Nothobranchius furzeri: one gene and its partner. The protein of the gene in region 2 purifies or fractionates together with the protein of the main gene of each other region. This does not show direct contact. Links are inferred from orthologs where the notes say so. Each region holds a gene or a part of one and is shown on either strand. Other genes may lie near its edges.

What was found.
Region 1: the proteins of polr1b (region 2) and si:ch211-140b10.6 purify together in Homo sapiens (affinity purification with mass spectrometry; 5 studies listed by BioGRID and IntAct, with this or other methods). This does not show direct contact. The link is inferred for Nothobranchius furzeri from reciprocal best matches to the Homo sapiens genes POLR1B and POLR1D.

What each region holds. Positions count from the first base shown.
Region 1 is NC_091747.1:51,106,016-51,110,079, reverse strand, and holds si:ch211-140b10.6 (protein POLR1D), read right to left. Parts: upstream 2,571-4,064; 5' UTR 2,426-2,570; coding exon 2,400-2,425; intron 2,069-2,399; coding exon 1,994-2,068; intron 1,558-1,993; coding exon 1,206-1,557; 3' UTR 710-1,205; downstream 1-709.
Region 2 is NC_091752.1:7,757,217-7,761,769, forward strand, and holds the start of polr1b (DNA-directed RNA polymerase I subunit RPA2), read left to right. Parts: upstream 1-1,644; 5' UTR 1,645-1,715; coding exon 1,716-1,892; intron 1,893-2,653; coding exon 2,654-2,821; intron 2,822-4,042; coding exon 4,043-4,189; intron 4,190-4,254; coding exon 4,255-4,387; intron 4,388-4,450; coding exon 4,451-4,553. UniProt on the Homo sapiens protein: Catalytic core component of RNA polymerase I (Pol I), a DNA-dependent RNA polymerase which synthesizes ribosomal RNA precursors using the four ribonucleoside triphosphates as substrates.

The DNA of each region.
Region 1 (4,064 bases), on a different chromosome or scaffold from region 2:
GACCTGCGAGATAAGGCACCCGTTGTCTTGGAAACACACCTTAGTTTCCACAGCCTTTTATTTTAGTCCAGCTCTTTCTGACGTTTAAATCTGTCCATTACACTTTTCTAAATGCATCATTTAACACCATTTTTGCGCGCGCTGCCTCAGACGATAAAAAAAACCTTGGCGACGACAAACACAACTCTGCTGCACTCTCCTCGTGTTTGCTGGCCATTAATCTTTGTGTGTCCTCGCCCCATTTAACAATAGCCCTCTTGGTTAGTCAATTATCATGAAGAGACCAACTGAACTCAATTAACCGCCGTGCGCGTTTGGAGCGCGCGTCTCCACGGCCTTTTACGCACGACTTTCAGACGCATGTTTGTCACGCGGGACGAGCCGGCTTTTATTTTGATAGTCTGCGCAGCTTCGATAGACTATTTGCACTCAGATCTTCAAAAGCAATTATAGCACTTTCCAATGAATCTTAATGGCAGCACTCAACGGTGCAATAAAGTCCAGGTGAGCCATTTCTATGCAAAACACCCCCCTGCAATATGGCCTAATGGCCTTTATATTTGATCATTGTTGTAAAGAGGAAGGAAATTGTTAACCCAGGCTGTTCCATATGTGATTTATGAGGCGTGTTGCCCGTTAAGAAGGGAGGCAATCAGAATCAGACACTTTCGTCCCTGTAAAGTTGTAGAAATAATAAAAGACAGTGGAGTCAGAAAAAATGGAAAGATTTAATGGCCATCTGCCATCTCAAAGTGAGGACAATCACACAAAATCAACAGATTGTTCCTGAAACAAAATAAATGAAATGTTTTTTAGCTTTTTCATTGAGTAACAAACCAGTTTTTGACGGCATGTCAAAAAATGATAAAACATGCTTACTCTGTGGCGACAGCAGCGTGGCCTATGTAAACATCATGACACGTGATGAATAGTAATGGCGTTATAATAGAGATTAGGTCCCCCTCCTGTGACGAACACGGTTACACCTCATCATGAGTCACGAGAGAGACTGTTTGACCTCATTCTGTTGCATTTTATTGGGAAAAAAGAAAATAATCTACCAGTACGTCCAAAGAGACAAAACTCACTCTATTTCTCTGTAAAATGATATTTTAAATAAAGTTTTTCTCTTTTAAACACAAAGCAAACAGCAGCACCTCTCAGTCGGTTATGAGCTCCTGAGACTAAAAACAAAGCCGGTCCATTCATGAAGTCTGAATCCGTCTTTTTTTGTCTCTTTTCTGTCCATCGGCATGTTTCCGGTCTCTGTCGTCTTGGTGTCTGCTGCGTCTGTCCTTATCTCTGTCCGGCCTCTTATCTCGACTTGTGCGGCGGTCCATGTGAGGACGTTTATGATCCGAGGGGCCGCCAGTATTCCTGTGATCAGGCGGAGGCGTTCTGCTGCGGTCACGCTGTCTGTCCGGGGACTCGCTCCGAAGGCGTCCTCTTGTGGAGGAACATTTGGCTTGGGGTTCCTCTGTGCGCCGGTGCAGGCCCGTGGAGCGCAGGGTGTTGAGTAAGAAGCGTTTGTTGGTGCTCTGTAGAGGACACTTCAACCTGGAGAAAAATCCACAAACATCAGACACAGATCCAGAAAAATCCAGCAGTTGATGCCGAAAGAAGAAATTTAATTTCACAGATTCAATCAGACTTCAGCAACATGACTTTTGTGGGTGTTTTATCCCTTTAACTATAGAATAAAGAGGCTAAATAAGAAATTTTCACACATACGATTGAAATGCCCCAAAAAAACCTTTAATGTATATATATGATATAAGACCTCAAATTAAAATACCAACAGATAAGATAACTTTTAGTGCAAAACTAACATTTTTAGGAAGACACGTGGTGTGTTCAGATGGTTTAATGAGAACATGAGCAAAATAATCTAATATTTAAAATAATACTAGACACTAAGTAATTATCCAAAAAGAAAAAAGAAAAGAAAGAAAGCCAATCCACATGAGAGGGTCAGAGATATTTCAGAGCTCACCATCCTGCAGGACCCATGGTCTCTGCTCTCACCCGGGCTCTGTCAGTCTCCCTCAGGAGCTCCTCCACGGCGCGCCTAGACGGAACCGGACCCAGAACCAGGAGAATGAGTCATGAGACAAACAGGACAGAAATTCTGAGCAGATGTACAAGAAATATAAGATGAAAGTAAAGCGGACGTGTCCTTGTTTGACCCGAAATGAGTCTCATCACCAGATTGGACTCGCTACTTATGCCGACCTGAAACTACACACAACAGGCAGCTAGAGTCAACAAGTCAACTTTAAATACAGTAAACAACTCAGATCAGAACTACTAACAGACTGTTTTTCCGCAGCGTTACATTTTAGAGGGAAAATGTCTGCAAATGTGTTCAGACGGAAGTTAATAAAGATACATTTACTCACTTTTCTAGCTCATTTTCTTCCGCCATTGCGTCTTAATCACACAAAAACTCTTACAAATAAATAAAAACCTAATAAAACCTATAAATTTACGTTAATTTACGAGGCATTTCTTGTTCACTTCGCCGAGAGGTCCTTCAATCGCGGACCCTGTTTTTAGCTGCCCGGAGCAATGCCTGTTCAGTTGCAAAATCATGTTGAAAATAAGTTATGAAACCAAACTACATTTTTTATTTACAAGTAGATATGTTTGTGTATTATGTATTGATCTTTTTTAATTAAAATAATTGATATTTTTAAAAGTTCAATAAGTTATGGGGCACCCCTGGAAAAACATTTACAGCTGATTGTTTTAGCAACATTTGGCCACAAATAACTTTAAAACAAACATAGAATCAAACAAATATATAAACACACTTTGTTAAAAAAAAGGATTTATACTCAAATCGAAACGTAAAATGTGACATTTAAACTTGTACATTTTTTATTTGATTAAACATTTTCCATTGGGAACTAAGCCAACTTAATTCTTTGGTAAATTGTAAAAATAATTTAAATACATACAATGGCTTAATCAAAAGTAAAGTGATAGTTACAGAATATCATCAAGCAAGATATTTTAGTAATCTAGATTGTGATACATTAAAGGACAATAACAAACATTTTTATTTAGAAGTAATCTTCTTAAAGAAGACATATTATGCCTTTTGCATCCTTTTTGTGCCGCCATGTGCACTCTGCCTCTATAAACGCTCCAAACATGCCAATGTGTGGTTGTAGAAATGTTGTGCCTAAAACAAGCTATTTGAAATTGTCCCCAATTGTGACATCACAAGCAGGCCCAGTGCCAATACTCGCATTGCGCCCTGCAGTCTTCAGCAAAGTGCACTTGGAGAAAGTGTGCAGTAAGGCTTCGAGTGCGTGGACTACAACTGTGCAAATAATTGCTGAAGTGAGACAGGGAGCATTGCGTCATGAAACGCAACGCATGCCGAGATGCTGGTCCTGTGATACTTTTTCAAAAGCCTTTATTAACAACTTTTAAACAAACAACCCATTATTTGAAATAAATTTTAATTAATTGCTGCTTTGTCTAAAACATTCAGAGCATCAACTGATTGTCCCAAAACTAACTCATTCCATTAGAAAATATTCAGAAAAGGAACTTGAACCCTTTCTCCTGCAGCAATGACTTGTGGGTAATACACTTCACCCAGCACTGTAAGAATACTTTTGAGGCAGATAATTAAGTATATATTTGTTCTGTTTTTTTCTATTCTATTCTATTCTATTCTATTCTATTCTATTCTATTCTATTCTATTCTATTCTAATTTTTGTTCTGATCCTGTTTTTGAACAGGCGGTCGGTGTAAGCCACCTCTAAACTCAGCTCCGTAGACTCCTCCCATCACCTTTTGATTGGCAGCGGTGGGCGGGATCAGCGGCGCCAACGGTACGGGGGCGTTTTCTTGCGGGCTTGCGGAGCTCTCCGTCGGTTGCGGCGAATGCGTGATCGACGCCCCGCAGCTGATAATTGCTCCCCGCTTTGGGGCCCGAGTGGACGGCGCGGAGGAGCCGCCGGAAGAAGGTAAAACATCCATCACATCTGGAGACATCCATCTCCTGCATGAGCTGTGTCAGCGAGCGGGGTTGATGCTGTCGCCTCTT
Region 2 (4,553 bases):
CGTGTGTGGCCGAGGCAGCCGGCGGCATGGCCACGACTCAGGCGTGTCATGTGCTACCAGCTAAAGTTACAAGGTACTGCTCAGCCAATAGCGATGGCTAATTCAAATTCAAATGTAGTGCAGATTTTTAACCTGAAGAAGGCGGGTTTTAGGCAGAATATTTATATTTGAAATGAGATGCACTAAAGTGCCAAGAATAATGACTACACACGTCAACTAGACACTCTTAACAAAAATGTTGATTTGGGAATAGGGGTGACATGCTCTTAAATGCTGAGAGATAATCATTTCCAGGTAAATTAATTTTGTTTAGCCTACAAGCTGCAGGATTTACATGTTAAAAAAACATTTGCTTCAGTACCCATGTAATAGCTTACTGGAACATCGTTGTCAATTACCTAAACGAGAAAGGTTAGGATCTTGTCAGCCACATATAGGATAAACAAAGTGAATTTAAATGATTTTTTTTAAAACCAATTCAAATTTTTTTGCAACGTTTTGAGAAAAATACTGATATAAGTGGCTCTCTGTGTGATGAACTCCCTGAAGATAAGTTTTGTCTTTTAGTTGGGCCCTATATCCCTCATTTTCTTTAGAACATACATCGTTTCACTCACCATCCACCTGGGATAGCCAGTCTATGGGGATAGCTTATATAGCCAATTGGCATATTCAAAATTGTTTTGATAATGAGGTAAAACAATATAAAACGACATAGGCACATAGCAACTCGTTTTTTACAAACCTTTACTTAAAATCAGAACATTACAAAAATTACAAATAACATCAAAAAGAACACACATTTTACAACTCACAGTATCAGGGGGTTCATAATACGACCAGCCAGCAGAGATACACCACTGGGTGTCGCTGTCGGATGACGTCAACAGCTAACAGGCTAAAAGCCCAATAAGTACAGGAAGCTCTCGCCGGGTGCGGTGGCGCGTGCCTGTAATCCAAGCTACTGGGAGGTTTAGGCTGGCGGATCGTTTGAGCTCAGGAGTTCTGAGCTGCAGTGGACTATGTCGATCGGGTGTCCGCACTAAGTTCGGTATCGATATGGTGCTTCTGGGGAAGCCCGGGACCACCAGGTCGTCTAAGGAGGGGTGCACCGGCCCAGGTCGGAAACGGAGCAGGTCAAAGCCCCCGTGCCGCTCAGTAGTGGGATCGCGCCTGTGAATAGACACTGTAGTGCAGCCTGAGTAATACAGCGGGACTCAGTCTTTTACAAGCTTTTGTGTTAGATAGGTTATTTTACTCGCTTTCCAGATGCTGCTTTTGCACATTTTACTGCAGTTTAAGCGTTGATTCTCCCCCGCTTCTCTATTGAAAACTGCAGCTGTGTGGCTGTGACACACCGCCCCCTTCTGGAAAATACGCGACCACCAATCACATCAGCTACCCTCACAGTAGAAGTGAGCGTTGCTTCTCAACAATTACACATAAAAACAGACTTTGTTATGAGATCAACTGATGTGCTTTATGAACATGAGCAAAGAAAAAGTGAATGAAAACAGTCCCATGAGCAGCGTGACGTCAAGTGCAAAGGGAAACTGGTGTAACGCATCGTTGTCTCCACAAGAGGGCGCTAACAAATCACTCGAGAACAACAACAAAAAAAAAAAAAGCAACGACAGATCTACTTCCTGTTTCAGTGATGTACTTCCTGTTTCGTGATGTCCATGTGGTAAACAAGCGTCCCGGGTTACACCAACATGGACTTTTCAGCTAAGTGGAGTAATGTACCGACAGGACCGAGTCTAAAGAACCTGACCGATGGAGAATTCGGTAAACTGAAAGAGACGCAACACGCCGCCGTTCAGGACCTGACTAAAGCCCACATCGAGTCGTTTGATCAGGCTGTCACTGATGGACTCAACCGCCTTGTGCAGGTCAGTGAGAAAGTCAGGTTTACAATTATTTTTTCACTTTAATAATTTAAAACATCATAAATACTCCAGCAGGGATATGAGAAATGACTAAATACTACTCCTGGTTAATTTCCTCCTCTCGTTGCCCTCTTTGACTTTAACATGTTTAATCCACGTGTGTCAGATCTGGTAGACATATATCATACATGTGTCTCTAACGGCAATAAAAAACCTTTATTTAAAACGGAAACAATGAACAGTTAATTACGAAATAAAATGTAGTAAATAAATGTAATCGCTAATTTGGACCAGTTACTTTTTATGAATGAAATGTTTTCATTTCAAACTTTTCAAATTAAAAGCATGACTTCTGACCACCTGAATGAATATCTGTATTACAGTGAAAACACATAAAAAATTAGATGCAGCCCCCTTGAGTGTTCAGAAAAAAACAAAAGGATATGAAGTGTGTGTGGGGGTGGGGGGGTACACGGAGTCAATTTAGAACATAAAATTCGAGACTACAGGCTGAAATCGTATTGCACAGAAAAGTAAAATGACAAAATTGGCCAATAACATGTTTTAAAATTTAAAATTTATCATTTCTACTTCATATATCAGAAAAGGGTCAAACCTTTACTCAGCAGTAGAGCAGAAGCTTCACTAACTATTAAAGGCTGTAGATGAGGTTATTATTATTGTTATTATTTTCCTTTGGGGTCATGTTGATTTTTGGGATCGTCTGGTTGCTTTTTGGACAGTTTTTGTTTGATGTTTTCCAGGCGATTCCTCCGATAGAGTTCATGTGCAGAAATGAAAAGTTGAGCCTCACGTTCGTTGATGCAACCATCCAGAACCCGCTGGTCGCCAAAGGCAGCATCTGCACAGAGATGAAGGTGTTTCCAGCAGAATGCAGAGGAAGGAGGAGTACTTACCGAGGAAAAGTGGTGGTAAGCTAGGCTAACTCTCTCACCTCCCTGTTGGAATGAAGAAGAAAATTTCATTTCTATAGCGCCTCTCAAGATAAAAATCACGAGGCGCTTCACAAAAACAAAAAATGTAAAAATATAAAAAAGCATTTAGAAAATGTTTAAAAATACATTTAAAATGAGCAAAAATAGGCAATTGTGATTAAAAAAAATTTAATAAAGAGAGAGAGTTAATAGGAAAGAGGGAAATCAGTGGCTGGAGGAGAAGGGGGGTGATGTGGGTGTGTTTGGAGGACTTGGTCAGAAGCCGAGCACAGGCACTCTGAACCACCTGTAGATGGTTCAGGGAGGTTCTGGTCAGACACGTGAAAAGAGAGTTACAGTAGTCTAAGCGTGAGGAGATGAAGGTGTGGAGAACTGTCTCAAGTTCAGAGCGGGACAGAATGGGACTCAGTTTAGCAATGTTCCTGAGATGGAAGAAGGAAGAGCCAACAAGAGAACTGACATGAGAATCCAGGGTGAGAGCTGGGTCAAAGGTCACGCCAAGATTCCTGACAGAAGTTTTGGTGTGGGAAGCAAGCTGACCAAGAGAGTCTCTGACTTTGGGAACCAGCTTGTCTGGGGCACAGATGAGGATCTCAGTCTTATCTTCATTCAGCTGAAGAAAACTCCCAGCCATCCAGGTTTTGATAGAGTCTAAGCAGGTGTGTAACAGCTGCAGCTTAGACATCTCATGGGGCTTAAAGGAGATGTACAGTTGGATGTCATCTGCATAAAGATGGTAGGAGATTCCTTTGAAGGAGCTCAGGATGTGCTGAAGAGGAAGCAGATAGAGGAGGAAGAGCAGAGGCCCCAGCACAGAACCTTGTGGGACACCATGGGTAAGAGAGGTGGTGGAGGACCTAAACTTGGAGACGGCCACAGAAAAGAAACGCTCAGAAAGAAAAGAGGAGTACCACTCCAGAGCAGTTCCTGATAGGCCTACCCAGTCTCTCAGCCTCTCCAGTAGCAGGTGATGGTCAACAGTGTCAAAGGCTGCAGTCAGGTCCAGCAGGACCAGAACAGAACCGTCCCCTGCATCACTGTGAGTCAGAAGGTCATTAGAGACCCTAAGAAGAGCTGTTTCAGTAGAATGAGCTCTACGAAAACCTGACTGGAAGCTATCATAGATGTTCTGTTCATCAAGAGCAGCTGTGAGGTAGCAGGTTTTGTAGTGAGGCGTGTGACGATGTGTCATCTCAGGCAGACGTCAGCTGGTCCATCAACGGCTTTCCCAAAGGCATCATTAAGCAGTCCCTGGGCCAGGTGCCGATCATGGTGAAGTCAAAGCTGTGTAACCTCTACGGCATGTCCCCCAAGGAGCTCGTAAAGCATCACGAAGAAGCAGAGGTGAGCCGAGCTGACGCGACTCCTCCTGTTATTGGATGTCGTCTAAACGCTGGTTAATTGAACAGGAAATGGGAGGTTACTTCATCGTGAACGGAATCGAGAAGGTGATCCGGATGCTGATAATGCCGAGGAGGAACTATCCCATCGCCATGTCGAGACCCAAGTGGAAGAGCAGGGGTCAGGGCTACACCCAGTTTGGTGAGTAGACACTGAGAGGAGCTTCAGCTCGTTGTTCTGTGCTGATTCCTTTCTTTCGTGAAGGTATTTCTATGCGTTGTGTGAAGGAGGAGCACACAGCCATCAACATGAACCTCCATTACCTGGAAAATGGGACAGTGATGCTGAACTTCATCTACCAGAAGGA